Sus scrofa: one gene and its partner. The protein of the gene in region 2 interacts with the protein of the main gene of each other region in a pairwise test. Links are inferred from orthologs where the notes say so. Each region holds a gene or a part of one and is shown on either strand. Other genes may lie near its edges.

The links.
Region 1: the proteins of APLF (region 2) and XRCC4 interact in binary tests that used the Homo sapiens proteins (3 or more experiments, as listed by UniProt). The link is inferred for Sus scrofa from reciprocal best matches to the Homo sapiens genes APLF and XRCC4.

The regions. Positions count from the first base shown.
Region 1 is NC_010444.4:91,383,910-91,400,584, reverse strand, and holds part of XRCC4 (DNA repair protein XRCC4), read right to left. Parts: intron 16,195-16,675; 5' UTR 16,185-16,194; coding exon 16,046-16,184; intron 9,401-16,045; coding exon 9,225-9,400; intron 1-9,224.
Region 2 is NC_010445.4:73,777,967-73,794,641, forward strand, and holds part of APLF (aprataxin and PNK-like factor), read right to left. Parts: intron 10,638-16,675; coding exon 10,282-10,637; intron 3,403-10,281; coding exon 3,277-3,402; intron 1-3,276. UniProt on the Homo sapiens protein: Histone chaperone involved in single-strand and double-strand DNA break repair.

The DNA of each region.
Region 1 (16,675 bases), on a different chromosome or scaffold from region 2:
GCCTAGACATAGTTCCCAGTGCTACACAGCAGGATCTCATTGCTAATCCATTCCAAAGGCAACAGTCTGCATCTATTAACCCCAAGCTCCCAATTCATTCCACTCCCTCCCCCTCCGCCTTGGCAAACACAAGTCTATTCTCCAAGTCCATGATTTTCTTTTCTGTGGAAAGGTTTATTTGTGCCATATATTAGATTCCAGATATAAGTGATATCATATGGTATTTGTCTTTCTCTTATTTCACTCAGTATGAGAGTCTCTAGTTCCATCCATGAAGTTAAACACATACTTACCATCCTACCCAGTATTCACAATCCTAGATATTTATTACAGAGCAGAGATTGGCGAACTCTTTCTAAGAGGACCAAACGTAAGTATTTTTGTTATCATACACAAGGCCTTTGCTGCAACTATTCAACTTTGCCATTTTAGCACAAAAGCAGTCACAGACAACATATAAACAAATAGGCATGTTTATGTTCTAGTAAAACTTTATTTACCTGAATGGGTGGCCAATATAAAGGCTATAGTTTGCCAATCTCTGAACCAGAGAAATGAAAACTTATGTTCACCAAGAAACCTATGCAATGACGTTCAAAGCAGCTTTGTAATAGCCAAAAAGCAGAAGCAACTACAACACAAATATTCTTAAATCACTCAATGGATAAACGCACTGGTCCAGCAATACAATGGACCACTCAGCAATAAATAAAAATGAATTACTGATGATTATTTGCAACAAAGTGGATGGGCATTATGTTCAGTGAGAAAAAAAAGTCAATCTCAAAAGGCTACATATTGTATTATTCCATTAATATAACATTCTCAAAATGACAAAACTGCAGTGATGAACAGGTTAAGTGGTTGCAGAGGATTACATAAGAGAGTGAGTTTGACTAGAAAGGAGTGGGAAAAGGGAATGAAAGGGACTCTTTATGATAAAGAACAGTTCTGTATCCTAATTGTAGTTGTGGTTATAGGAATCCATACATGTAATAATATTCATATCATTATAAACACACAAAAACAAAACATTAAAAAAAAAAACAGACTGCTTGTTAAAATTAGTAAAATCTGTATAAGGTCTGTAGTTTAGTTAATAATATTGCTTCAATGTCAATTTCCTGCTCTTAAAAATGTACTATCATGATGTATTGTTATCAAAAGGGAACCCAAGTACAGGCTACACTGGAATTCTATGCATTATTTTTGAAACTTTTTGTGTCTTTAAAAGTACCTCACAATAAATTTTAAAGTTAATTGGCTGCTACAGGGAACTATATCCCATCTCTTGTGATAGACAGTAGTCAATGATAAGAAAAGGAATTTATATATATGCATGACTGGGTCACTTGGCTTTATAGCAGAAATTGGCACACCATTTTCAATCAATAATATTTTAATTAAAAATGTGAATTTAAAAAATTAACCGGCTGCTATAAACAAAAATAATTACAATACATTGTGGAGTTTATAAGATATATAGAAGTAAAATATATGACCAAAATAACATAAGGGAAAATGTTAGTATATTTCTATAAGCCAATCTTAAACTATCGGTAAAGCAGAATATCACTTCAGGTGCACTGTGATAAGGTAAAGATGTATGTTATAATCACTAAAGCAAGCACTAAAAAATGAGCTACAAGCCAATCAAAAAGAAAAAACAGAATCATAAAAGAAGTACTTGGAGTTCCCGTCGTGGCACAGTGGTTAACGAATCCAACTAGGAACCATGAGGTTGCGGGTTTGATCCCTGCCCTTGCTCAGTGGGTTAACGACCTGGCGTTGCCGTGAGCTGTGGTGTAGGTTGCAGACGCGGCTCGGATCCCGCGTTGATGTGGCTCTGGCGTAGGCCAGTGGCTACAGCTCCGATTCAACCCCTAGCCTGGGAACCTCCATATGCCGCGGGAGCGGCCCAAGAAATAGCAACAATAACAACAACAACAACAACAACAAAGACAAAAAGACAAAAGACAAAAAAAAGAAGTGCTTAAGTGTTCAAAAATGACAGAAAAGGGAGTTCCCGTTGTGGCGCAGTGGTTAACGAATCCGACTAGGAACCATGAGGTTGAGGGTTCGGTCCCTGCCCTTGCTCAGTGGGTTAAGGATCTGGCGTTGCCTTGAGCTGTGGTGTAGGTTGCAGACGCGGCTCGGATCCCGCGTTGCTGTGGCTCTGGCATAGGCCAGAGGCTACAGCTCCGATTAGACCCCTAGCCTGGCCTGGGAACCTCCATATGCTGCTGGAGTGGCCCAAGAAATAGCGGCCCAAGAAATAGCAAAAAAAAAAAAAGACAAAAATAAATAAATAAATAAATAAATAAATAAAACATCATTATCAATAATTATATAAAATGTAAATGCCCTAAACACCCCAATTAAAAGACACAGATTGTCAGACTGGATTAAAAAAGAAAAATACAACTACATATTTCTTAAAAGAAATCAAATTTAAATTGGACAAAATTTAAATTCGACAAAAATAGTCAAAAGCAGAAGGATGGAAAAAGTATACCATGGCAACTCCTATCAAAAGAAATCTGAAAGCAGGTTTTAGATGAAAGAATATTAAGATTTTGAGGGTCATTTCAGAATGATAAATGGGTCAAATCATCAAGAGAACATGATAAATCTCAATGTTTTAAACTTTATAATGAAGATTCAAAATACATGAAGACCTGAAAATATTCAAGGAGAAGTAAACAAATTCATGATTACAGTTATAGATTTGAATATATTCTCAGTCATTGGTACAGCAAGTAGATAGAAAATAAGAATATAGAAAACTTAAGCAAGATCAACCAACCTGATCTAACTGACATATATATCCACCAAACAACAGGAGAATAAATATATCTTTCAAGTGCACACAGACCATTGAACAAGAGAGACTATATTCAGGGCCTTAATATAAGTACAAATCAATTTAAAATGATTCAAGTCACATACAGTTTTCTAACAACAATGGAACTAAATTAAAAAGCAACAACAGAAAAATATCTAGAATATCAAAAAAATGGAAAGTTAATTACAAACTTCCAAATAACTCACGAGTGCAAATTTTATCTAAAGGAAAATTTTAGGAAATACTTTAAATGAAAATGACAACATGGTCATACCAAAATTTGTGAAATGAAGTTAAGGCACACCTGAAAGGAAATTTAGATCCTAAAATACCTAAATGAGGTAAGAAGAGAGGTCTCAAATCAGTGACCTCAGCTTTCACTTCAAAGTGATAAACCTGACAAAAAATTTACAAGATCCATACTGTGAAAACTACCAACTGCTGAGTGACTAAAGAGTAACATATAAATCAGTATTTCTAAACCTTCACACTTACTAACATTTTGGACCAGATACTTCTTTGTCATGGAAGCTTGTCCTGTGCTCTGAAGGATGTTTAGCAGCCTCCTGGTCTTCTACCCACTGAATGTCAGCAGCAGCTGCTGGCTGTGACAATCAAAAATGACTCTAGATATTGCCACATGTTCCTGGAAGAGCAAAATCTCCCCCAGTTTAGAACCACTGGGGACCTAAACAAATGGCGAGATATATTTTGCTCATTGGTCAGAAAACTCAATATTGTTAATTCTGTAAATTCAATGCATTCAGCAGACTTTTTTGTAAAACGTGACAAACTGATTCTTTATTATAAACCTAAGTTACCAAGACAGTCTGAGGTTGGCACAGAGATAGATAAAGAGATCAGTGGAAAAAGACAGAGTCCAAATATAGACCCATATGTATATAGTTAAGGGATTTTCAACAGAGCTCAAGAAATGTGGTACATCGATATGATAATACTACTAAGTAATTAAAAGGAATGAATTGTTGACACAACACATAATAATGAATCTCGAAAACATTATACCATGTAAAGTTACATGCAAGAGTATATACTGTCCAGTTCTATTTGTATGAAATTCTAAAACAGGTAAAGCTAATCTAGAGTGACAAAGAGGAGTTTAGTGGGTGCCTGCAGACTGGAGAGTGAGCAGGGACAGGGAGGGAGGTGAGGGAGTAATTTGGGACTGACTTCAAAGAAGCATGAAGGAACTGTCTGGAGTGATGAAAACTTCACATTTATTGTATATATATTACACCAAAACAAACAAACAAAAAATTATTTTGGGAGTTCCCTTTGTGGCTCAGTGGTCAATGAACCCAACTAGGATCCATGAGGATGTGTGTTCAATCCCTGACCTCACTCAGTGAGTTGGGGATCTGGCGTTGCCGAGAGCTGTGGTGTAGGTCACAGACGTGGCTTGGATCCCACGTTGCTGTGGCTGTGGCATAGGCCGGCAGCTGTAGCTCCGATTTGACCCCTAGACTGGGAACTTTCATATGCCATGGGCAGGGCCCTAAAAAGAAAAAAAAAAAAAAAAAAAACTATTTTGGCAGAAGTCTGGATTCTACCCTACCTAACTTAGTATCTCTGCTTTCCTAAGGAATTTGCTTATGCTTTCAGCAACTGTTTCCTCAAATAAAAATAGTGATAATGCCAAGTCCACATGATGAAGTGAGAGCATATATTAAAAGGGGATTAACTGAAAATAAGCACAAATTAATATTATTACCAATCAAAAGTTCTTTTAGAGTATGGTGTTTACATGCTACCTTTAACTTCTGTTTTCACTAAATTGTTTCTTTTCTGAAAATCCTGGAATAACTGAACAAATTAAAATATAATCCTGTTGAGATGTTTCTTATAAAACAAGAAAACATTTTAAATCAAAGCAGAACAACATAAGACAAAGAAAATGAGTTCCCAAAGACAAAACTGTAACTACAAACTAATCTTTCTTTAAAGTAATAATTCTACGGTCTGGTCTATGGCATAACTACAAAATACATACTTTGAGCACAATTTCTGCACCACTTACATTACTGATTTAGTTTCCATATACCAAAAGGTAAGGAATTACAAAGGGTTTAATACAAAAATGGTAGATGTATACAAATACTTTTATCACAGAAATAAAAAATACAACAATTTCTTTTTGAGGCCTTCAAGCAACACATTTGCAACCCATACTCCCACAAACCTGAAAATCATTACTACTTTTGACAAAGTCTTTGGCAGAATACCATGATAAAGGCTCCAATTCTGATATTTCATCTGGAAATACCCAGTTGATTTCAAAGTCCCCCAAACCACAGGGACACATGGCAATAATATAGGATTTTGGACTGCTGTTTTTAAAAACAACTTTGACTGCTTTTGGCTAACTTATTTTACCTCATTTTTATATATCTGAAAAACGTACATTACATAAATGTAAGAAGGCTGTTTGAACTTAGAATGCATTTTCTATTTTTCTTAAAAGGTTACTACAGAGAGTAAAATAGAAAACTATCATATATCTCACTACATGTTGTAACATTTTTTAAACTACGACTGAAACAATTATTTGACTAGACAAAGACCCCTGTAACAATACAAGTGAGCCCTTCTAAATGACTGATGGACACTTCAGTCTCTCCCAAATATTAACATGCAGAGATTGCCTATTGTCCCTCAATATCCACCTTCCTCTTTTTACACAGCTATGAAAATTTCTGGTCAGAGGATGCAGCTGAAGATCCCACTTCACAGATTCCCTTGCAGCTATGCGAAGCCCTGGGACTTAGTTCTGGACAATGGGATATGTGCAGAAGTAATGAATGCAATATTAAGGTGATGGTCTTAAAGAAAATGCACATGTGCTTTATTTTCTCTTAACTCAGTCTTATTGCCTGCAAGGTGAGCAGGGCAACATAGTTAAAGAAGCCTGAACCTCCACATTATAAAACCATTGTTTTAACCAGGTCTGCCTATTTGGATCTTTGCCTTCATGATGTATGTCATCAAGTTTTCAGTCTATACTATATCTGAAGCCAATATCTGATAGTGGGGGAGGGAGAGGAAGGAAACAAAAATGCAAAAAGATTTTATTATAATTCTAATACAGACCTAAAGCTGATTCTCATGTGTATGTTTGTATGTGTGTTTATCATGTTTAATTTTCCTTCAAACCACATGGCTTTCCTCATTAGGACTATTTTTAGAAATATAAAACTACAGTATGTTAGATGACCTAGAATGAATCCAAGTAATCACTTTAAAACTTCATAGATGAGAAAACAGAAGTGTGAGCAAACTAAATGATAAGCCCAGGGTTACTCTTAAAAAATAATTAAGCCTTTTTTATGTGGCTCATGAATGAAAATATTTTCTGAAGGAAGAGAGCAAATTATGAAAGCGGAAGAGGAAGACATTGTTAATTAAGATGTATTATTTGCATGACAAAGTATATACTGCAAAATCCATAAGAACTGTGAAAGGTGGAGGGAAAAGAGTAACACAAAGTACATGAATACTCTTCTGAGTGGGTGACAGTACTTATAGTGAAGAGATAATGACTTCCACATGTTTGCACCAAAGTACACTTTCATTCATAACAATCTATTGCCAAATGAAGTGTCCTGGTGATGTGACAGGAGGATCTCAGAGGTTGTACTCTATAGAGAAAAAGAACTACTAGCATCTAGCTGGCCATTCAATACTTATTCCAATGAAAATTAAGCTAAAGTAGAAACATCTATGAGAACATCTAGGAAAAGCCAAAGGGAGCATAAAAAAAATTGGGGGGTATTATGAGTTAAAAAGTAATCTCATAAAAATTATGGACTCCATCTCTAGAAAAAAATGCATGTAAATATCAACATAAACATTACACGTATTAAGGATTTCATTGCTTTGGAAATTGACAATTCTTTCACTCTGATAAAACACAAGACAGTATTTCTAAAAATCAGGTCTTTTAGAATATAAAAGTTAGCAGTTAATTCCTTTCTAAGAAATAGGGAGAAAAAAGAAAAAATTGTGATACAAATATAAGTTTCAAATAAGTCTTATATGACTTGAATATTCAAAATATTCAAATTATGCAGTGATCTCCAACACAGAATTACATATACAAAACTTCTTGAATTGATGGCAACAAATGCCCAAAATCCTTGACTCTCAGAGGCATGAGACTGTTAGCAAATGTATTTTGAACTCAAAGAATATACTTTCCCATGGGAGAATAACCTCATGTCAACAAACAACAAAATTCACTACAACTTTTTGAGTTGAATGTACATTCATTCTTCTCTTTTCTTCTAAGTGTGGGAGGTCATTTTTGGCAACAATTAAATTACATCAAGGAAAGGATTACAAACTCCTTTTAAATTTTTAGGTCATCCAAAGCAAAAGTAGCCATAAAAAGTATTCTGCCATGTTTCCAACTGTCAGAATATTTTTGCCAGCAGATGAATTTACAAGATATTGTCACTCTGAAATTCAATTTGCAAAAACATCTTCTGAAGCACTAGAAGATTACCATGGGAAGTTTGGCCATAAAAACTTGTGATTTTCATGTACATCCGTAAGGCTGATTGCAGCACCTCAAACTCGTTTTACCTTACTCAAATATCTAAAACTCTCTCTCAAGTAAGCCAAGGCATGAACTCCTCCTCATCAAACTGTTCTCAGAGTAGATTTTCTTTTCCTCATAGGCAAATTAATAAATGAAGAAATAATGAGGCTGCTATCTAAACTGCACTGTAGTGCTTTGGGACATATCCATTAGGGAACCAACCCGCTTCTGCAATACTGGTAATCTCTTATTCTGTGAGCATCTCTTGAGAAAGAAAACCTGTTGAAAAGGGAGTTCAAGGCTTTGGCTGCGATAAAGTTGACTGATTTTAGGGCAATAAGCAGAGTATCTTTCAGGATCATTGCCACAGTTTTTGAGGCTGATACATGTCAAGCCAATTGTAAAAGACTTAAGTCACGAACACTTTAAATTCTTTCTTCACAAAGGCAGCAAAATCAGATGTACTGTCAGGCATGGTAAGTACTCCATCCACACTCAATGCACCAAACAAACCCTCCTTTTCATCATGTCAAAGATACCAAAAGGCTCTCAAGTTCCCAAAAGGTACCTCTCAAACTTAGAACTTGTTATGCACCAGTACACTCAAAACGGATGAAGACTAGAATCTAGCCACATGAAATAATGTTAGTTACTATATACAAATGCTTGTTGAGTGGGAAATGGCATTACTCCCAACTTGACAATGATCTGCTTCAAAATATTAGAATCAAGAGTTGTGTAGTATATAACATCATTTGATTATACTTGAACCATAGCAAAGAACACTTCGTGATAAATAACAAAATTTCAGTAGTCAGTTCAATCCTTACTTACCTTATTTTAAATTATCATCTTAAGGACCTCAACATATTGAAACTTACATAAGTTGACAGCTAAGTTGAATAAGTATGCATGTTTTAAATAGAAATCATTACTGAAGCCAGGCTTTCTGTATTATTCTCTATAGGAAAATATACATTTGAAAGTAATGATTCCATCTGTGGCTTCAAATGTTTCTCCAATTGGTAAAATCCCTTTAATCATTCTGAATTAAAGAGGTTTTTTTTTAAAGAAGAAATTTTTGAACTCAATTTAGCTCCAGCACAAACCATCAATAACTGCCTCTAAACTTAATGTAGTAAAGATTTCCTTCCCTTTCTTTTGCTTTAGAGCTCATATCTGATTGATAAACACTAACAAAAAGCAAATAATTCAACCACCAATTATACCATAAACTTGGATAAACTATACAAACAGTAAGTACTAAACTTTAAATAAATAAACCTTAATCTGAATGGTAGAGAAACTGAACAGGACAGGAGCAAATATCTTTGTCTGCACAGCAAGCAAGCTTTGGAAAGCTTGTGTTGAAAGTTATTTCTATTTTAATACCTTTTTGCAATTTCAAATACATTCTGATGAAGAAGAAAAAAGAATAAATATGCAAAGAAAAATATATTGTTCTCTTTCTTCAAATCAGTATTTCCCCAAACTTATTTCAATAAACCTTGTCTCATGATTTGAAAATTCTGAAGGCACTTTTCAGAACTGCTCATTCATGTGATTATCTCAATAATATTTAGTTTTAAAGATTTAAAAATTAAATAGTTTTCCAACATTTTTTTCACAATTCATTAATATAAAGCATTTAATAACTATAACTTTGAAGCATTCTTCCAACTTGGAAATCAAGTACTTTTCAAACTTTTGTTTCTGAGGTATTCTGGGAATAATATGCTAGTTACTTAAATAATTTCTCAATAAGCCAATAAGTGCTCTGACATTTTACCACTTAAGAGTATTATGGAAAGTTTTACTTACTGAAACATCTTTCAAGTTCTTCTCAAAGGAGAATTGACAAGAGTCTTTTGAAAAATTAAACTTGTATGTGTCAGTTGGTCCTGCTCCTGACACCAATGCTTTTCTCAGTTCATCAACATATTTCTCTTTTTCCAATGCCATGTCATCAGCTTCTTGGGAAATCTCTGATTCAGAAACTATGAGAAATATTAATTAAAAAGTTTTATTTATGTGAAAATAAATTTCTAAACATAAGAATAAATGTTTACTGGTTGCTACTAATTACTTACATAACATTACTTATGTACGTATATAACAGAAATTTAAACAAAAAGTACAATCAATCCCCACATCACACATTTTTAAGTTATTTCTTAATTTTTGAGAAATACATTGACTTAGTCTCAAATCTCATCTGAAAAGCATTCTTTCTGTCCTCAGATGATACAAATGCATTATGAATTATCACAGAAACAGCCATCTTGTATACCTGCTCCGAAGTCACAGCAGAGAAGTTATTTCCTATCATGACTAATAAACTCAGTATTTTACAACTTTCTTCCTTGCCTCAACTATTAAAGGGATTAAACAGGCTATTTCTTATTCAGATGGGCAGTCAAAGTAAAAACAGAATTCCTTCTTCTCATCTTCTCATGTGCTAAAAACAAAAACAGTGGACGAAGGGAGTTGATGAAGAAGGAAAGGGTAAGGAATTAATATTTACTGTCTCCTCTACGACATATATCACATTTCTGGCTTCCAGTTCTCTCATCTACGTACATTTAAAGCTGATGTTTTACTCATCCATAGAGATTTTTACTTCAATAATATTTTCAATTTTAGATACTCTCTTAATTTCTTTTTCATAATATTTTGTCCTTACCACACCTTTCCTTTAAATATGTGAAAGATTTAAACATATTTAAGATCCCGTTGAGATTAGTATCTATGCATAGTTCCTAGGATATTAATTCCATTTCTTCTGGGAGCTGACACATTCTCGTTCTGTTCTGTTGGTTGGTTGGTTGGTTGGTTTTAAAGATGACTTCATTAACAGGCTCACCTCCAGGTTTCTTTATCTTGAGAGCTCAGCTCCAATTCTTTAAGAAGCTTAAAATTTCAACATGCCACTCCACTTAGATACCACAGTCACAGTCATTTAGATGTATACCTACTTCAGATATCCCATGAACCTATAGTTCTTGAGTTCCCATTAACCATTTTGATTTTCAGATACCTCTTCACACATGGCACCTAGGGACTTCCCTTCCTTCCATTAAAGCTGCAATGTGAATGTCTGTTTGCTTTTAAAATCACAAGATCTAACCTAATATTTCTTCAGAATGGTTGATTGGTTCTTGTGTCAACTCAGGCTACCACAATGATGCAAGATCCACATGGATCTAAACTTTTATATTTAAAGGTTACATTTATTTATTTTATTCCTTATAACAGTGAAAGATAGAGATTCTCATTTGGCAAATGATAAAATTGAGGCTCCAAGAGATCAATTAATGGCCTCGGGTCATGAAGTAGCTAAGTGCTAAGACTGAGATTGGTATGTATGTCTCTCTGGTTGTTCTGTTTTAAGGTAAAGCAAAGATATGGGACACTAGATAAATTCCTTTCATAATATTAAAAAAATGCATTGGTATGAAAGAGTAGAGAAAATAATAAAACTTTGATTAAAGATTTCTTAAAAATATAACTTCTTTTGTAACTTTGCTCCATATGTTATCAAGTGTCTAGAAGCCCCACGATGAGGAAGAGAGTCTGGAATACATCCATATATTTTTCATGATCAATATTTGATAAGTTCTCATACTGAAATATGGGCTTCAGCACAGCCTTTGAAAAAAGGTAAGTATAAAATTATTCTTTTTATTTTTGTTTTTTTTAGGGCCACACACACAGAATATGGAAGTTCCCAGGCTAGGAGTTGAATCAGAGCTATAGCTGCCAGCCTACACCACAGCCACGGCAACATGGGATCTGACCCACCTCTGTGACCTACACCACAGCTCATGGCAATGCCGGATCCTTAATTGACTGAGCGAGGCCAGGGATAGAACTCATGTCCTCATGGATATTAGCCAGGTTCGTTACTGCTGAGCCACAACAGGAACTCCTAAAAATATTCTTGTGAGATTCTACAACTTCTAAATACTTCCACATATTTTTTCTCTCTCTGAAGCATACGCATATTTAAGATGATCACTACTATCAAATCTACTGACATTTCAAATACCCTATTAGCTCGTAAAAAATAACATAAAACTAAGAAGGCAATCACTTCCTCTCTAAGGAATAATTTCATATTTTTGGCTTGTAAATGTTTTAAGAGTTATAAGGACCTAGAGAAATTATTTCATTGAAAAATAGAAAATAATCTATAGAAACAATCTTTAATGCAACTATAGAAAAATCTATAAGGAAACACACAAAAGAAAGTATATCTACTGATAAAACGGCTAGTAGAAAGTACTCTAAATTTTATTAAAGTGAAAAGATACCTTTATGAAAATATTTAATAGAATCTATTGATTCAATTCATTTATTGCATAATGCTTAATGAGCATCTACTATGTGCCAGGCACTATTCTAGGCATCAGAGAGACAATATCTAGACAGACAAAAATACCAGCCTTATGGAACCTTGATTCAAGTACTGACATCTTAGATATCTTTGCAGATACCCTTTTAGATATTATCTTCGATATTACACTTCTGTTACTCCATCTGGGAATGCTGCATTGGTTAATGTTACGAAATACTTGATAAATTCATTTGAGTAATTTAAAAAAATTTTTTAAATGTTATGAAATACTTCATTCCTGAGGGAAAAAAATATATATATAATAGGAAATTCTTTCTAATAATACTTTTTTAAAAAGTGTCAGGGAGTTCCTGTCGTGGCACAGTGGTTAACGAATCCGACTAGGAACCATGAGGTTGCGGGTTCGATCCCTGGCCTTGCTCAGTGGGTTAAGGATCCAGCGTTGCTGTGAGCTGTGGTGTAGGTTGCAGACGCAGCTTAGATCCCACGTTGCTGTGGCTCTGGTGTAGGCCAACGGCTACAGCTCCGATTTGACCCCTAGCCTGGGAGCCTCCATATGCCGTGGGAGCAGCCCTAGAAAAGGCAAAAAGACCAAAAAAAAAAAAAAAAAAAAGCGTTGGTTTAAGAAAAAAGCTTACTTAATCATTTCCTGTAAGTGAAATTTTGACTGCCTATTTAGAAGTTCAATCCTAGCAAAACAATTTGGTCACTGGTTTTGAATTTTGTGCTGGAAGAAGCACAGTTGGAAGCCTTCAATGCTCCAAAAACTTCAGTGACCAGGGATAAAAGCAATGGAAGTAAAGAAATTCAGTAAGGATACAGTTGAACCACAAAATATGGGGAAAAAAAAATGGGAAGGAAAAAAAAAAAAAAAAGTGAGCAGGCCAATGTGACCAAAATACAATTACTTGTTCTTGGACAGGTAGGAGCCAAGAAAGCATCATTTTAACACTATTTGTAGGTAGGTAGAGATGTAAATAAGAAAAGAATATTCTTTATTTTGGATCCTTATGTATAATGAATCAAAAGACTGTATATCCTAAGTTTGTGGTGGAGCTGAGAAGGCACACAGACTTACGAAGTCACCAAATCACGGACCCACTTTATTACTTCATTCATTAAAAATCCTTTTTTGGGGAGTTCCCTGATGGCTCAGGGGGTTAAAGATCCAGTATTGTCACTGCTATGGCTGTGGTCACTGCTGAACTGCTGAGGTGTGAGTTCGATTCCTGGCCTGGGAACTTCTGAATGCCAGGGGTGCAACCAAAAGAAAAAAATCATTTTTCTACTGAGTTCTATCACATAATCTCCATAAAAGTCACCAAGTACATCAATGTTTAAAACAAATGTAAGTGGATATAATTACTTGAAACTAAATGCATTAACAAAGCTTAATTTACACTTCAATGAACTTTTTTTAAACTGCTCCAGAAAAGGGTGATACAAGTTTCTTACTGCTGATTGTGATTCTTATGAAAGTCACATAACAGTCATCGATCACTAACCCACTTTGTGACTTTACCCTATATAACCCTCTATAATGTCGAAGTGATGATAAACCACATGATAATTAGACCCCAAAACATTCATTAGATAAAACATTGCTAATGGAAAAGAAATCAGTGAGTTTAGTGTGTGGGAGATTAAAAAGAACCCCACATCCTTTTAATTTCACTGAAATGAAAAGAAAAAAAATTATCCAAATTGAAGGTTGCAGCAATGAAAAACCTGTACAAAAAAACAGGATGAGGTATAGGAAGGAAATTCATTTTCATGTTTCAATTATTTAATTGTTTTAATGTTCTTAATCACGTTATTGTCTATTTGTAAAGTGCCGAACCAAATTAGATTTATGTATAAGCCTTAACATGGAAACAATATGATATTATTTGGCTTCATATTTTGTCCCTGAAATTTACACAAGAATATAGAAGTGAATAATTAAAAAGTATAAAACATTCATGAGATCTAAAACTTCAATGTCTTTGAGAACAAATGACCATATCTAGTGTACTATAAAATTTTCTGTTTGAAAACTTGTATAAAATAGCAAGCTCAAATGTTAACAACCCACCAAAGGATACAGAAGTTTGATCACACTATATTTCATATTTTTATCACACTATATATCATTAGCTAAAAAACAAACGGTAAAACATACTGCATCTATGATCAATGCCAACAATAAGTAAATATGAAACTGAAGTTTTCATTAAAAAATACGCTAGCTCTAAAAATGATGGTTTCACTTTCTCTTTTTTCCTTAGCTAGTTTTATATATTTCAGGCATCCTTTGATTGTTTTTCAAAGAATATCCATTGAGCACATATGTCCTACGTACTGGTCTAGATAATTATGAACAGTGGTTGACGAATCAGATTTGTCCCTTGCTCTCAATGGATCTAGGCTAGCAAAACAATATTATTAATAATATTAAGGACAACCGCCAGTTATTTTGTATGAAATAAACAAAATGTTCCATAAATGTAAAATCAACTTAAATTTCTGGTTAAATTAAGATTTAAGAGTTAATCACAGTACTGGTTTTCTTTTCCTGATCCTTAATGACACAAAAATTCAAACAACATATTTTTACTGTTTTTTGCCTTAGTGAATGAAATTAATTAACTAGATTAAAATTTAATCTTTTCTTTTGATAAGTAAGGCTCTTAAAACATTGCAAGGTCTTTCCTCTGACCATAACCTCTCATTATACAGAATATGCCACCTGTTAACTGGAAATACCTATGTTATAAATACAGTATTCCTTACATACAACCAACCATTTCACCTAGGATCTGATTCCTGGGCTGTGCTATTGGAACTGCTCTTTTCTCCTAGAAAAATGGTATTAACTTACTGCTATGATCTTCAATCCAGTATACTATTCACCCCCAAACAGAGCTACTGTCATTTGAATACACCTTCACCAGGAAACAGAGAACTAACCTGACAAATTTTCCTCTATTTTGCATTGCAACAACCAACCAATAACTGATTTTTCTTACGTAGAAATTCGCAACTTAAATAGATACCACAACAGTTACTGAAAACATTATCCTAAAAATTTCTTTATTTTACAATACTTGTAACAACATTCCTTGCTCTGTCATGAAAAATGAATGAAAAAAACTCAAAAACTCTGCAAGTATAAATGCAGTTTGACTATTTTGTATAACAGAATCTGTACCATTTAAGAAAAAGCAACACTTCACAATGCATTGTGATTTTAAAAGGGGATATAATAATTACAATAACAAATTTTGGAGAAATATTTTAAAAGTTGATAGATGATAAATAGGCAAATAGAATATAAATTAACATGACAAAATTATTCTACCTAAAATATCATTTACAACATTAACTCTAGAAATGACTATTGCATAAACATAAAATCTTTCAATAAAATACTTTCAAAGTAGATTAAAACTTTGCTATATAAGTAAAACATAATTCTAAATATTTTGACTTTACACTTGTAATGTTAATAAATGATTTCAGGGCCTTTAGGCTTTTTTAAAGATTACACTAACGATTTTAAAAATCAAAAGTCTAGAAGCAGCTTGGGTCACTTCAGAGGTGTGGGTTCAATCCCCAGCCCCGCAGAGTGGTTAAAGGATCCAGCACTGCTGCAACTCCAGAGAAGGTCGCAGCTGCAGCTAGGAGTCAATCACTGGCCTGGGAACTTCCATATACTGCAGATGTGGCCATTAAAAAAAAAAGAAAAAATCAAAAGTCTATTTCAAATATAAATAATAATAGCCAAAATCCCACATACAGACTTGAATCTTGGTTTATAAAGTCTTAGTCTATGAGTTCTGTTTTGTTGCATTATGAATGTAGTACATGTTTATTGGAAAAAAAGTCAAACAATATAAGTATATGAAATAAAATGAAAACCACCACCAACCCACTCTCCCAAGTCCTGGCCCAGGCAATCCTTCTTCCTGTGCACCCCAATAGTTCCCTGGGGTCCTGTGAAAAGATACATGTAAAAAGTACTCTTTATTTTTTTTTTATAAAGAGATAATTTTAAAAACTCTGACCAACTTCAAGTAATAAGACTCAAAGGGTTATTTCTCTATCCTTCTATTAATGTAACTTATAGAAAATGGCATTATATTACAAGTTTATGTGTAAATTAGACAGTAATAGCAAGTAAAAGCAATCATGTTAATTTTAACCAATATCTATTAAAGAAACATTTTAATGTGAAGTATCACTGAGGGCTGAAGAATAGCACATTACTGAAATATTTCTTTAAGAAATTTGCTTTTGATATTACCTGTCCCAATCCATGCTGACTGCCCATCAGTAAGGGTAATAACAAAACCAGATCCTAGTGTTTTCTCCCAAGCGACTTGTAGAAAATGAATTATTTCAGGTTCAGAAGTGAGATAGATTCTGCTTACTTTTCTCTCCATTTCTGGTCACCTATTATAAAAGGATAAAATTAATACATTTGTAAGAAACTCCATCAAACAGTGTGTTTTCTGTATTGCTCTCCTAGTAATACAAAGCACCAAGGAAATAAGTAAAACAAAAAGCTGTATAATAGCCAACCATCAAACTCAGCAACATAGTTCTATTCAATATTGACTCACAATTTTTACCAATAAGCAGAAACTCATAAACGGCAAATGATTTGCCCAAGTTAGGTAAGTGATTAAAAATTACTGTTTCCAATAATATAAAGATAACATTTTTCCCACGTGTCAATAGCCTCTTTCTCCACAACAACAACAAAATGGTCATTAAGAACTGTGTGAGTGATCTATGAATAAATCTTAGGACTGGAATGTGATTATAAATTTGACCAAGTGTCTTAGTCACTGGAGAAAGACTGTGAAATGAGAAGAGAGAATAAACACAAAGATGAGGAAAAGAAAATCTTAGAACTCAAGAGTTGGCAATA
Region 2 (16,675 bases):
ATGAGTTATGTTAAGGTTTGTATGTGCATGCACATGCACAGGAATGTGTGAACTTTTCCTGATTAATAAAGATAATGGGTATTTTTTCATAGATTTATTCAATCTAGATGTCTTTTTGGACAAAAACCCTGTACATATCACTAACAGAAAAACAAAAAGCAATTTGTAAGCCTTCTTTATATATTCTGGATATAAGTTATGTGGTTGCATATATATTTTTCTCACTCTGTGGCCTATTCTCACTCTTATTTTTTTGGCCACGACTGTGGCATACAGAAGTTTCCAGGCCAGAGACTGAATCCCCGCCACAGCAACAACCCAAGCCATTGCAGTGACAAGCCAGATCCTTAACCCATGCACCATAAGAGAACTCCTATTTTCATTCTCTTAATGGTATCTACTGGTGAAAAAAATATTAATTTTAATTAATCAAATATTAAATGTTTTCCATTTTAGTTATTGCTTTTTTTAAATTAAAGGGTAGTTGATTTACAATGTTATATTAGTTTCAGGTGTACAGCAAAGTAATTCAGTTAAACATACATCTTTTTTTCAGAATCTTTCCCATTATAAGTTATTAAAAGATATTGAATATAGTTCCCTGTGTTATACACTAAATCTTTGTTGTTAGTTACTGCTTGCCCTAGAGCCCTAGAAAGCAATTCCAACTTTGGAATTGTGAAAATTACTCTTATACATGTACCTTTAAAATATAATTGTTTTAACATTTAGCTCTATGATCCATCTGCAATTCAATTTTTCACTGTGGTGTGAATTTTCTTTTTCCAGATAAATATTTGCATCCCAATAGAATTAACTGAAAAAACTCATATTTTTCTCAATGCCTGCAATGGCCCTTTTCATGAATATGTCACCTGTACATACACAGGTCTGTTTCTGGGTTCTACTCTGCTCTGGCCTTGTTACTTTATCTTTGGGCACATACCACACTGCCTTAATTAATGCAACAAGTCCTGCCAAATAATCTTCTTTACTTAATATTGTCTTGATTATTTTTGGCCATTTGCATATTCATATAAATTTTAGAATCACATCATATTTCTATACAAAAACTTGTGATATATTCAGAGAAAACTGGCATTTAAACAATATTGAATCTTCTAATCATGAAAATTTCAGTCTTTATAATTACTTAGGTTTTCCTAAAAATTTTTTTCTTATAAAGGTTTTTATATATGTTATTAGATTTATCTGTGATACTTTTTGATACTACCATAAATATAACATTTTAAAAGTTTATATTTTCTAATTGATGGTTCTGGAATATAGAAACATGACTGACCTTGTATATTGACATTTATATCCAATAACCTTGGCAAGCACTTACCAATACTTATAATTCAATCAGAGACTAGTCTGCATTTCTTATCTACACAATGATACCATTTGTCAACAATTAAACTTTTATTTCTTCCTTTCCAATAATCATTCATTTTCCTTTTCTTATCTTACTGCACTGTCTTACATCACTAGTACAATACTAAATAGAAGTAGTAATAAAAGGTATTCTTCTTGTCTCATTTGTTATGAGAAAGAAAAATTTTAATATCTCACTTCTAAGTAGATGTTTGCTGTTTTGGGTAGATATGCTTTATGATTATTAAAGATGTGTTCTTCTGTTCCTATATTAAAATGAGTTTTAATCATAAATGAATTAATTTTATCTATTTTTTAAATCATCTATTGAAACGATTATATGATTTTCTACTTATTCTGATATGTGATAAATTACACTACTTTTTTATTAGTAAACAAACCATGCCTTCTTTGAATAAAATCAATTTGGTCATATTATATTTTTCTTTTAAACCATTGTTTAATTCACTTAAACTTTTTTTGATAAAGATATTTACATCTAAGCTCAAAAGTAGTTTTTCCTGTACTTCTTCATTCTTTTATTTTTCTTGCTGAGTTTTTGTATCATAAAATGAGTTGATGAATACAGCCTTTTTTTTTAGAATACAAAAATTGAATGTTTCTTAAGTGTTTGATATAATTATCCACTAAAGCCAAATGGACTTAGAATTTCCTTAATGTAAATCTCTTAATTATGTCTTCAATGTCTCTAATGCTAAAGGATTATTCCACTTTCTTTTTCTTCTCATATCTTTTCTAAAAGTTGTATTTTCTAAGAATTTTGTTTCTCCTAAATTTTCAAATGTATTGACATCATTGATGATAATGTAATTTCATTATTATCTGAAGGATATTCTGTTGAAATGGAACACTTATTTTTCAAATGGTAATGCATAAAGTTTTTTTATTTTCTTTCCAGTCTCAGAAACTTACTTGGCCTTCTTATTGAAAACCAAATCACAGAAACAGTAACAACTTCAAAAAGGCCAGTAGGTTCAGCAACCTGTATTCCAATTAAAGCTCTCTAGGACTGGAATCACTACTTTGGTAGTTTTATTTATTTTAACTTCATTCATTCATTAAACAAAGTTGCAGATAAAAGAGTCCTTACTGTCAGGAAACTGTCTGGAAGAGAAGCCGATCCAGGAAAGAACCAAACACAATCTTATTAAATAAATTCTACTGTGCAATCCATGGCCTAGATGGTCACAAGATGGCCCAGATGGTCACAAGAAGGAGGGAGGGGAGGTACTATTTTCTTCTAAAACTGAGTTTCACGTGTTGGCAAGAATGGCAGAATGGTAGGAATTGAGAGCAGCAGAGATAACATCCTGAATTGATTTGTCACATTAAGGAGTCTAGATCGAGTACATAATGGGGAAGAAATGACAGTTTTTAAATTATCTGATTTGCATTTTCCCCCCTCTTTTTTTAGGGCCACACCTTCAGAATATGGAAGTTCCCAGGCTAGGAGTTGAATCAGAGCTGCAGCTGCCAGCCTATGCCACAGCCACAGCAATGTGGGATCCGAGCCACATCTGCAACCTACACCACAGCTTGTGGCAACACTGGATCCTTAACCCACTGAGCAAGGCCAGGGATTGAACCCTCATCCTCATGGATATTAGTCAGGTTCTTAACCTACTGAACCACAATTTGCATTTTGAAAGTTAGAAATGAGGAACAATTTCAGGATTTATAAGGTTAATAATGTCAAAAATTTAGAATTATCTAAAAGAACATTATAATCCTACTTATTAACAAAATAAAAATCTATTATCTATGTAAATTTTAAAAAGTTAAAGGCCTTAAATGAGAGGCTTACCTGCAGTTTCTCCTGAATAAGTAACAGAGATTAAGCAGAAAAAGAGTACAACAAAACACTTCAGGTTTACATACCGATAACAAGATGCTCCATAAGGACATTCAGGCCGCTCATCAGCCTCATCTTGACACGTGACATGTACATCTCCATAATCACTATCACCAGGGTGACTGAAGTGTTGAAAATGGACAGGATTCTTCCTATGAGAGTGACAAATACACTGTCAAAAAATAATAGAATATACTAGGTTTCTAGATATAAGAGAAAAAAACAATTAATAGGATATAGCAGGAAATCAAACAATACACATCTGATTATTCCAGAATATGAACCAACATGCTACACTTAAAAACAAAGCTCATGATATCTAGTCAGTACAGAAGTCTTACAGTAGCAAAATAAATTTCTAGTAACATGAATATCAATGGGCAACTTGCAAAGAGTACTTTATATCGGATATATAGGATACAGAATGTAAATATTATAAGCATACATAGCTTTTGAACACTTTTAATAAAGTGAACACACCTATGCATCCTCTGCTAAAATAAAAAACAGAAAACTACCAACAATCTAGAAGTTCTGCATGCCCACTCCCAATCATTAAACCCACTTAACTACCCCAAGGTACCCACTATCCTATCAGCTGAAACAATGTTTCTTAAATTTTTTGGTCTGAGGGGAAAAAAAAACCATTAAAACTCCCAAGAGCTTTAATTTATGTGGGTTATATAACCTATTAGAAACTAAAATAAGAAATTTTAAAATACATTTATTTTAAAATAACAAACCTTTTACATATTATCATAAATAACACAATTAATGTAAATATCCATCTACCAAAAAAATCATAGAGACACTGCATCATACGTTATACATTTCTTTAATGTCTGGATTAATGGAGGACACCTGGATTTTCATATCTGCTTCTGTACTCAATCATTAACACAAATCATGTAGCCTCTGGGAAATTCTATTGTACACTTGTGAGCAAGAGAATCAGAGTGAAAAAGGTACATAAAGGATTATTATGAAAATGGTTTTGGTCCAAAATATTTCTTAAAAGCATCTAGGGGACAAGGACTCACCATGGTTTCTGGACCATATTTTGAGAAGCAATGTTATAAAACAACATATTAGTTTCATCTGTTCTTGAATTAAAATGGAAATGTATAGTATATACTTTTTTGAGAATGACTTATTTATTTGTTTGTTTGTCTCTTTTGGCCATTCCCATGGCATGTGGAAGTTCTTAGCACAGGGATAAAACCTATGCCAAAGCAGCAACCAGAGCCGCTGCAGCAACAATGCCAGATCCTTAACCTGCTGAGCGACAAGAGAACTCTGAGAATGACTTCCATTTGAATGATCATTCCACATTGTTGCATGTAACAGTAGTATACTTTTATCACTGTGTAACATTCCATTGTATGAAACTGCCCATTCCACTATCTGTCCATTCCACTATTAACAGACTTCTGGATTCATTCTAGTTATTGGCTTTCAGAAATAATACTTCCATGAACATTCTACTTTGGGTATACTATTAGAAGTAATAAACTAATTCAGCAAAGTTGCAGAATACAAAAATCAACGTTCAAAAACCAGTTGTGTTTATATATACTCGTAATAAACAATCCCAAAAGAAAATGATGAAAACTATTTGATTTATAATAACACTTAAAAGTTGGAGTTCCTGTCATGGCGCAGTGGTTAACGAATCTGACTAGGAACCATGAGGTTGCAGGTTCAATCCCTGGCCTCACTCAGTGGGCTGAGGATCCACCACTGCTGTGAGCTGTGGTGTGGGTTGCAGATGTGGCTCGGATCCTGCATTGCTGTGTCTGTGGCATAGGCTGGTGGCTACAGCTCTGATTAGACCCCTAGCCTGGGAACCTCCATGTGCCGTGGGTGTGGCCCTAGAAAGGACAAAAAGAAAGAATAATAATAATAATAAATAAAAGTAAAATATTTAGGAAATAAGCCTGAGGTGAAAGACAAGACAAGTTTAATTTCTATTACAGAAAACACAAATAAATAGACATCCTATGTTCATGGAATGGAAGACTTAATATTGTTAAACTACTCTCAAAGCAAACTACAGATTTAAAGCAATCCTTAGTAAAATCCCAATGATATTTTTTGCAGAAATAGAAAAATCCATCCTAAATTTCATGTGGAATCTCAAGGGACCTCGAATGGACAAGACAATCTTGAAAAAAAAGACCAAAAGGTTGGAGGTTTCACACTTTTTGATTTCAAAACTTATTACAAAACCACAGTCATCAAACTAGTGTGGTACTGTCATAAAGATCAAGGATATAGACACATGGAAGAGAACAGAGAGCCCAGAAATAAACTCAGGCTTATATGGTCAAGTGATTTTCAACAAAGGTGCCAAGACCATTCCAAAAGGAAATAATAGTCTTTCCAACAAAAGGTGTTGGGAAAATTGGATACTGACATAAAAAAGAATGAAGTTGGACCCTTCCCTTATACCACACACAAAATTCATTCGAAGTGCATCAAAGAACTAAACATAAGGCCTAAAACATAAAGCTTTTAGAATGGGGGGGGGGCTTCATGACACTGGATTTGTATACAATTTCTTGCCAAATGCAAAGACAACAAATGTAAAAGTAGATAAATTGGTCTACATTAGAATTAAAATTTTCTGTGGATCCAATTAATAGAGTGAAAAGGCAACCTACATACAGAATGAGAGAAGTATCTGCAAGTCATGTACCTAATGAGGGCTTAATATCCCTATACAAAGAACTCCTACAACTCAATGCCAAAAGATAAATAACATGATTCAAGAATGAGCAAAGGACTTGAATAGATATTTCTCCAAAGATATACACAAATGGTTAACAAACATATGAAAAGATGTTCAACATCACTAATCATTAGGGAAATGCAAATCAAAAACACAATGAGGTATCATACCTCACACCTATTAAAATGACCACCATCAAAAAAAAAAAAAAAAAAACTCAGAAAATAATAAATATTGGCAAGGATGTGGAGAAATTGTACCCTCTGTGCAATGTTGACAGAAATATAAAACGATAACATAGCTGCAATGGAAAACAGTATGGTGGTTCCTCAAAAAATTAAAAATAGAGGAGTTCCTGTCGTGGCACAGTGGAAACAAATCCGAGTAGGAACTATGAGGTTGCAGGTTTGATCCTTGGCCTTGCTCAGTGGGTTAAAGATCCATGTTGCCGTGAGCAGTGGTATAGGTTGCAGATGCATCTTGGATCTAGCATTGCTGTGGCTATGGCGTAGGCCAGCAACTGTAGCTCCGATTAGACCCCTAGCCTGGAAACCTTCATATACCATGGGTGTGGCCCTAAAAAACAAATAAAATAAAATAAAAATAGAATTATCATATGATCCAGCAATTCTATTTTTGGGTATATACCCCAAATAATTGAACATAGAATCTCAAAGAGTTAGCATTATTCACAATAGCCAAGAGTTAGAAGCAACCCAAAGGTCCATTGTCAGATGAATGGATAAACACGACATGGTTTGTATGTAAACTGAAATATTATTCAGCCTTAAAAAGAAAGGAAATTCTGACACTTGTTACAAAATGGATGAACCTTAAGGACCTAAGTAAAATAAGCCAGTCATAAAATAACAAATACTGTATTCTTCCACTTATGTAGCATAACTATAGTCAAAATGAACTTGCTTTAATTCCCAACCATTTCTGTGCTATTTTCATATATTTTAATTTCACAAATATTTTATACAACACAAGTTATTAATGCTTTATAAGTCAATATTCAATTTTATTATGTTCCTATTTTCCATGCTAAACAGCTATATTTCAATATAGGGCCTCTCCTGCTTTGCAAACACTGACCTCCTTTTTGTTGGCTAAGCTCCGTAAGACCGCCCAAAACACCACCTGCCCTCTTAGCTCTCAGCCTCAAACACTAAAATGCTGGCAAGTGTCACAAGGGGAAAAGAAGCCTTAGGGTCCCAACTGCCTCCATGTTCTCAAATATGGGTGTTCAGCTTTGGTAACTGTTCTCAGTGGGAGGTTTGGGCCTCAATAAGACACTTCGCCTTTATCAGGGATGAAAATCTTATTTTATATACTATTAACTCAGATAATTTATATGACCTTATGTAGATAGAAGCTACAAGTTTTTAAATTAAGGTATAAATTTCTTACATGCTAATGAGACATTTCTATTTCTGTCCAGTTCTTAAACCCAGTTTGCTTCATGGAGCCATATGCTATTAAACAGAAAAACTATATGACCCCCAAAAGAGTAAAATTTTCAAAAAGAACTTTTTGGAAGGAACAGTTTCTACAAAGTTAAATGCTGTTTTGCTGTTATTTTGTTTCACAAAGGAATAAGATGTGACTGCTTTAGACAGGTTGATTTTGAAGTGATGATTATCTGTATCTGAAATCTGTGTTGGAGATATAGGCTTGGGAGTTAATAGCATAACACCAAGGGACTGAATAAGACCACCCTTGAGGAATAATTTTCTATTAAGAGATAGAATATGAATATAAATAACCATAAATCAAAAATTAGGTATTAAATATAAGGTCTAATACCAAGTATTAGAAACTTATATGAAGAAGAAAGTTGCAGACTAGAGGATAAACAATTTAAAAAGGACATGTCAGAAAAGGACTCAGAAAGGAACTGAATGAATCTTGAAGTGGGACAGCAGTGAGGAAAAGGGAACGGCATGTTCAAAAGACAAATGACAGCATAACAGCATGGTGCATCCAAAGAATTACTGAGAGTTCAGGACCTTCTGGACTATGCTAAGAAAGCCAGGCTATAGCCTCCAAACAATTCTGTAAAAGGGAGTAATACTGTGAGATTTTTTTGTCTTCTCTCTCTTATTCTTTGTTTTTATTTTTTTGAAGGCAGATGACTCAGGCAACAATGAAGAAAAAATATGAACTTGAAGGCAAGTGTGATGACTTGTCCCAGAGAGGTCATGGTATGAGCTAAGACATGGCATTGAGGCTGGAGAAAAGACACATTTAACTGATTGTTATGATGTACATACATAACGAGTACTCAAAATAGGTTATTTTCCCCCTTTGTTACAAATATAAACATTTTGTCTTCAAGATTTAAGATTTCAATGGCAAATGTTTCTCAGGTATTAATTATGCATATGAAAATCAGTGAAAAAGTAAAATAACTATTCATAAGCTATGACTGATTAAAACTAACATGTATCATCATCAAATATGAATGAATTCAGTATAATCTTGATAAAATACTCAATCACATTTAACAAAGACAAATACAAGCCCAACACTGTTAGGGACTGAATTGTGTCATACCTCCCCAACCCTACACATTTATATGCTGAAACCTTAACCCCTAATGTGACTATATTTGGAGACAAGGCCTTTAAAGAGCTAATTCACATTAAATAAGGTCATAAGGGTAGGGCCTTGATCCAACTGACTGATGTCGTTATCAGATGAGAAAGAGACACCCAGGATGTGCATGAACAGAGAAAAGGCCATGTGAGGACATGAGAAGGCACCATCTGCAAGCCCAGGAAAGAGACTGCAGGAGAATCCAAACCGGCCAGCACCTTGATCACGGGCTTCCAGACTCCAGAGCTGTGAGATAATAAATTTCAGCAATTTAAGCCACCCAGTCCATAGTATTTTGTTATGGCAGCCACAGTAAACTAATACAAATATCAAACAGGATTTTTCAGAAATCCAAAATAACAGAAAGTTTATACTTCCATTCCCCAAGTTTATAAATTATGTTCCACATGCAGACCTAAGGCCACAGCAGATAGATAAAACTGTCAATAGATGCATAAATTATAATTGTTGAAATTGAACAATATCGTTACTCAAGTACTAAATGATACTGCATTTTTTTTGGCTGCACTCACAGCATGTGAAAGTTCTCAGGCTAGGGATTGAACCCATGCTGCAGTTGCAACCTGCACCACAATAGCGGCAACACCCAGATCCTTAACCCACTGTGCCACAGGGGAACTTCCTAAATGGCATTGCATTTTAAAGAGAGACATGAATGAAAAATTAAGAGAATATGTGACATAAGCATGCTATTGCATAAAAGACAACCTGTACTAGAATGTATTGATAAGACACTTGGTTTGATGAGCTGTAATGGCACAGAAATAATTCTGAAATACAGCTATGTATTTATCAGCATGTCAGTACAAACATAGAGGAACAAGAGACTACAAATAAGGAATTAGTTTGAATTCACAAAGTATGAAATCAAAAAATATGGTACCAGGTAACTAAATGAAGTATGGGAGTAACCAATCAATTCAAAGAATATATATTCAGTTGTTTTAGAAGGCATCATGGTGATTCAAAAGCACCATTAGAAAAATATGAACAAGGAGTTCCCATCTTGGCACAGTGGAAATGAATCCGACTAGGAACCATGAGGTTGCAGGTTCAATCCCTGGCCTTGCTCAGTGGGTTAAGGATCCGGCAGTGCCATGAGCTGTGGTATAGGTCGCAGATGTGGCTCGGATCTGGCATTGCTGTGGCTCTGGCATAGGCCAGCAGCAATAGCTCTGATTAGACCCCTAGCCTGGGAACTTCCATATGCCGCGGATTCGGCCCTAAAAAGACAAAAGACAAAACAAAACAAAATCCAAAAAAAACCTCACCAGTATAGTAAGATACCTAAACACAACCAATAATTTTCTTGAGAATTATTTTACATACAACTATTTTTGAAGCCCATCTTTCTAACATCTAAATAAGACATTAAATAAGCATGTATTTAAGGTCTGAGTGATTCTGTTTTCAAGTCTGAATCCCCCAGTTCAGATCCTTGCATTAATTAGCATATCCACAAATGAAACTTTTAATTCCTCACTATTATTTTAAAAGCCTCTAGCAGGATTTGCTAGAATGCATATTGAGAAAGTACAAATGAGCAGACACATGATAAAAACTCCTAACCTTTAGCCTATTGGGTTTTATTAGGCCTTTAACACACTATAGCATATATCTGCATAGCTATCTGCTATTGAAATGATGGAATTATATGCTACCCGTAATTTCATTTTACCTGTAGCAGTTTGCCCCATACATGCAAGATGTCCTCTTGAGCTTGTTTTCTTCAGAACCCTGTGGAACTGACCTGGTTGCCTCTGCATGCAAAGTTTCAGGATTGAAAGGATGAGAGCTGGACTCAGGATGAGACCTTTGAGATTCGTCCAGGGAGGATGTGCCTTGGGCACTTGAACAGCTCTCAGCACAGCTCCTCACCTTGTCGACTTTATTTGGTGTTCCCTTAGCAGTGATTTTTTGTTCAGAAACCTCACCAAGTTCCTCTACCGGGGTTTCATTTCTCTGTGTATTAGTTTTCACTTTATTCACTTCTGTATTGTGTAATGTGTTTGTAAAACGTGATTGTGGCATTTCCTATAAGACAAATCAGAAAAATAAAAAGTAAAGCATGTTTCAAAAGAAATAATGTAAATTTAAGCGTAAAAGTGTGAAACTACAACATTCGTGCAATATGTATATTTAAAATTTTTTATCCTTTTTTTTTTTTTTTTGCTTTTTAGAGCTGTACCCGTGGTATATGGAGGTTCCCAGACTAGGGGTCTAATCAGAGCTACAGCTGCCGGCCTGCACCACAGCCACAGCAACTCCAGATCCGAGCCGCATCTGCCACCTACACCACAGCTCACAGCAACACAGATCCTTAACCCACTAAGCAAGGCCAGGGATGGAACCTGCAACCTCATGGTTCCTAGTCAGATTTGTTTCCATTGCATCATGACGGAACTCCTGATTCATATTTTAAAGTTATTAAAATACCATTTTCTATGTCTCTAGTTTGTTAACTTTGAAATAATCTACAAGTATTAGAAAAGGAGTTCACAGTTACATGAAATCTTTACAATTGTGTCAAACATCAGTGAAAAGTAATCAGAAAACTATAAATTTGCTTTCATTTAAATATAACCTTTGCCCCCAAAACCTTAAATGTCTCTTAAATTACCTGTTCAACAATATGTCAAATTCTTATCATGCAGTTTTCTTATAATGTCCTATAAGTTACTTTAACATTTTATTTCTACCCTCTAAATATAATCACGATTTTTTCTTATAGCTGAATGATGAAATTGCTCCTCCCTCACAAAAAATTTGCATGAAGTCTATGTTATGACCAACTTAGAAAATAAATATGATTCCTCTGAAGTAATATGAATAACAGTTTCAGTTTAACCAATTAAAGATATTTTGAGTCAAGTAAATATTTTCACTAGCAAGACAGAACTTTTTTAATGTGTACTTACCACAAGTACAAAGAGTAAGCCTGGTCTTACCCTATTAAAAATGACCTCTTAATTACTTATATTTGATGTGGAGTGGAAACTGCTCAGATAAACCCCAGTCATCTTGGTAACCATTTCCAGGATGTGATGACAACATAATTGATAGACGTGAACATTTACCCCTATGTATAACTATGAACTCATGTATTCTGGCTGTCTTCTGGAAAGAGCTAGTTTTAGTATTATTTAATATCCAACAGTTCAAATTTCTTAAGAAGATACTATCAGCATGACTTCTTTTAGACTAATAACTTAGGCGTTTTGACAGTTTTTTTAAGAAATAGTATGCAACTTTAAAATGTTATCGAAACTGATTTAAAACATTGTGAAAAGAACCTAGGTCTAATCATGGTTCTTGTATAGTATTGATAAGCTATGGGAAAAGCAATCAGCTGGCTGCCTCTTGGTGCTGGCTCTCAGCTGGTGGCATTTACGCCCCATCCCTCTTTCCTCCCAAGCCACTCAGTTACACCCCAATCTCATCTCCCTCTGCTACAGGACCAACTAACACATGCCAGGAACTGCAACCGTAGGGCGGAGCCATCCTGACCCACTTCCCTACCGGCAGTCCCCCACTGGGTTAACTCAACCTATTTTCTTCTTCCCTCTTCAGCAGTAATGGGGTAGGTAGGCTAATCTCTGGCTAATTAAACAGGTCCCATAAAATGTCAGTCCCCTGTTCCTGTTGGCATCTCAAAATGCCATTATATGTGTGTGTGTGTGTGTGTATATATATATATATATATATATATATATATATATATATATATATATATATTTTTTTTTTTTTTTTTTGCTTTTTTAGGGCCACATCTGAGGCATATGAAAATTCCCAGGCTAGGGGTCTAATTGGAGCTGCAGCTGCCAGCTTTTGCCACAGCCACAGCAACACAGGATCGGAGCCTTGTCTGCAAGCTACACCACAGCTCACAGCTACACCAGATCCTTAACCCACTGAGCAAGGCCAGGGATCGAACCTGCATCCTCATGGATACTAGTTGGGATCATTACTGCTGAGCCACAAGAGGAAATCCACAATAAATTCTCTTAGAGTGCATCCCTTCTTGATTTTAGAAAAGGAGAAAATAACTTCTTCCCATCAATGCAGCACTCTTCCAAATCTTAAAACCTTCTTGTCTCTCAGTTCTCTTTGTATAAAGCCTGGGGGTGGGACAGCAAATACTTCTCACGCCTTTAAAGAAGCACCTAGAGAAGGGTGTGGCTCTCACTGCTGGGAGCTCCTTTCAAACATGAGATGCTTATACTTAGTGCTTCTGTCTCCAACATTGGGCCTCAGCAACAGTTTGGGGACAATAGGGGAAAATATCATACTCGATGTCCTCTCACATTTATTATAGGCGGGAAAAAGGATACAACTAGGGAAATGGTTAAATAAAGTAAAACACATTCTTACCATAAACACTATGTGGAGGTTGAAAAGGATGATGTAGACCTATATATATCTAAGGATTTTTATAAAGACCTTATTTAAAAAAAATTTCTTTTTTGTCTTTTTAGGGCCGCACCTGAGGTACATGGAGGTTCCCAGGCTAGGGGTCGAATCCAAGCTGCAGCTGCCAGCCTACACCAGAGCCACAGCAACGTCAGATCCAAGCCACATCGGTGACCTATACCACAGCTCACTTAACTTACTGAGCGAGGCCAGGGATCAAACCCTGCATCCTCATGTATACTAGTCAGATTCATTTCCACTGAGCCATGACAGGAACGCCTCTAAGAATTTTTAAAATTATACCATATATATACTATGATTCTATCTAACTTAAAAAAAATCCCCTATATATCCACATGAGTATTTACTTGTGTAAATCCAAGTGAAAAGATTCAGAAGGATGCAAACCAAAATGTCAGTAGGGAAATGGAATTAAAGGATGAGGCAAATCAAGAATTTCACTTTTTACTTCACACGTGTCTGAATATTCTAACTTTTGTACAATAAGCATCTACTATATTACCCCTTAAAAAATGAAAAGCAAACCAAAGAAATGAAATAAGATATAAAATGTAAAGCATCTTATTTCAACTCCCTCTACTTTCTTGAAATGTTAAGAGTTTATTTTTTTAATATCTTCAACAAGGAATATGTTTATCATGTTAATTTAATCCAAAAGAGAGAGGAGGATAAAGTCACAGATATCAATACCATGGATCAGGGGTTCTCAAATACATTTTAAGAGGCATAAAAGCTGGAATTCATAATGTTCTTTATGGAACTCCATGAAATATTGATATTCAGTAGGCCCTTGGCACTCAAGAATTTAATATTCATGGTTTCAATTATTTATAAACGGCCCAAAAAATCCATTACATGCAGTAATTTGTAAATTTGCTGAGACATAAATTCGTACTGTACCAGTTACAAGGCTCATGAGCCAGAGCGAGTCACTGAACCAGCAAACGAGGGAAGAGGAAAGATGGAAGGTGCTCTGTACTTGAAAGAAGCAGGGGGAAGGCAGAGAGCTCCATATTTTATGGCACTCACATTGCTTACGTCCTAGATTAGATGAAAATGTGAAGGATGATGTTGTGAGAGGCTAGAGATTCATGACAGAAGAGGCCAGATCCCCAACACTGTAAAAATACATGCTAGAGACCTCAGGAATCAAGAAGCCTGGAGCTGGTGGAAGGTGACCTTGGTGTTTGTAGGTGGCTAGAACATACTATGAAGACTATTAAAATAGCCTGGTAACTTGTCCAACAAGTCCTCCCTTCTACTCCCTTTTCTTCTGAAATTGCCAGAACCTGTCCCATCTGGCCCTTTAAAATTCAGCCTCCTCAGAATCCAGAGGCTACACTCTAATATCTTTCTTTCTTCTTTTTTTTCCCAGCCATGATGTGAATGTATTGATATGGGATCTCAGTTCCCGGACCAGGGATTGAACCAAAGAACTCCCAACCCTTAATTTCTTATATTCCCTGGATTTTTTTTTTTTTTTTTGGTTTTTTAGGGCTGCACCAGTGTCATCCATATGACATTAGACCCCAGGGTAGGGGTCTAATCAGAGCTGTAGCCGCTGGCCTATATCACAGCCACAGAAACTCCAGATCTGAGCCACATCTGTGCCCTACACCACAGCTCATGGCAACACCAGATCCTTGACCCACTGAGCGAGGCCAGGGGTCGAACCTGCACCTTCATGGATGCTAGTCAGATTCGTTTTTGCTGAGCCACATCAGGAACTCCCTTATGTTCCCTGGATTAAAGCTCAACTATAAGCCATAGTCAAAAATGTTCTCAAAGTAACTGAAGATCCTCACAGATTTGCTGAGGAATTTAATACAGTCATTCAAGCTTATCAACCTGGTTTCTCTGACTTATATCACCTAGTTCACATATTATCAGTGAAGACCAGGCCCAGCATTGGATAAAAACTGCTAACTGGGAAAATCTAGAAAGATCTCTAGAATTACAATGTGGAGACCAGCCCCCTCACTTACTATATAATCACACTTAAGCAATCATGAGGCGACTTCATCAGGTAATTGCTATAGTTTTTCCAAAGCCTGCGGACTGGAACAAAATTCAGGCTTGCACACAAAAATCTGATGATCTTGTTCACGCCTAGTGCAGTCAACTTCAGACTATTTTAGAAGAAAAATATGGTCTTCTTTCCGATGTTGATTCCACCTGGATGTCTGTTCGCTCTGTTTATTAACGGGCTGAACTGGGTCCTTTCCCTTCTAGTAAAAAGGACCAGGATGGAATGGGAAACCATGTCTAGTCCTGATTTAGTTGATCTCGCAAATTCACTACACTCAGTCTCTAGGCGCATCACCCGAAAGGAAGACTACTAAAATTCTTAATCTGCAAAATCTAGCAACTGAAGGCTCCTAAACAAAGCCAAAACCCTCCTAGTTTCTGCTATTATCACAAAGATCCAGGACATTGGGAAGAGACTGTCACAAACATAAGTACTTTAGACGCCTTAAGCCCTCTAACCAGGCTTTCCAACATCTCCCCAATTCTCAACGACAGGGCTCTGAGAAACTACAGGGGCTCTTCCCAATCCACCCTCACTATCAACCTGAAGAAACATTTCTCCAATTGGAAATGAATCTCTTCCAGTTCTAAATGATACCAGAGCCACATTCTCAGGGCTCAACCCCACTACTATAAAGCAGCCCCTAAAAAAGTTCAAATAGTGGGATCTGTACTGAGCCTCAAGAGTTTCCCATCTCTGACTCTATTCCCTTTTCTTTAGGCTTTTTGAGAGCTGCACATCCTTTTCTCTTTAGTTTCTCTGCCCCACTCATGTATTAGGGACTAATATTCATTTATTAGGCTGAGACTTCTCAGAGGCGCATCATTCTGGAATTTCTTTCTCCCAAGAGTCCAGAATTTGATGGCAGTCATTAAAATAACCAACCAAATGAATTAAATGATCCTTTGACATTTTTAATTTATTTTTTCCCTGACAGTACTAGACCTGATTCTAGAAACACTGATCATTTGTTCACAGTGAATCAGCTACTGCCCTCCTTATGAACGAAATCTCAAACTGATATGGGCAAAATTTACAGCATACTTCCCATCAAGATTCAAACAGGTCCCTCAAATCCATTTTCCCACAAGTAATCAATATTTTATAAGTAAGGAAGCCCTTAAAGGCATAAAGTTCATAACAGAAGATGACAAGGCTCAAGGTCTCATTATCCCTTACACCAGCCTGCTAAGAAAACCCAAGGGCTGAGGGTGGGGGTTTGTCCAGGATCTCCGAGCAAGTAAACAACACTGTTATCCTTTGACACCCTGTTGTTCTAACCCTCCATACATTACTGACATCCATTCCAACTGGAAGCAAATTCTTTACTGTTACTGATTTCTGCAGTTCATTCTCTGGTATTCCAGTTGAAGAGGCTGGCCAATACCTTTTTGCCCTCACTTGGGAAGGAAAACAATTCACCTGGACAGTAATGTGTGAGGGTTTTGCTGAGTCCCTCTTACTTCTCAGAAATCCTGAAGGCTGTCTGGATTATATTTAAGTTCCCTAGAGGTTCTACTTTGCTGTAATGTGTGGATGATTCACTTCTTTGCTCTCCTTCTCAGGCCTCCTCACAGGAAGACAAAATCTACTTGCTAAAGCTTTTAGCCTT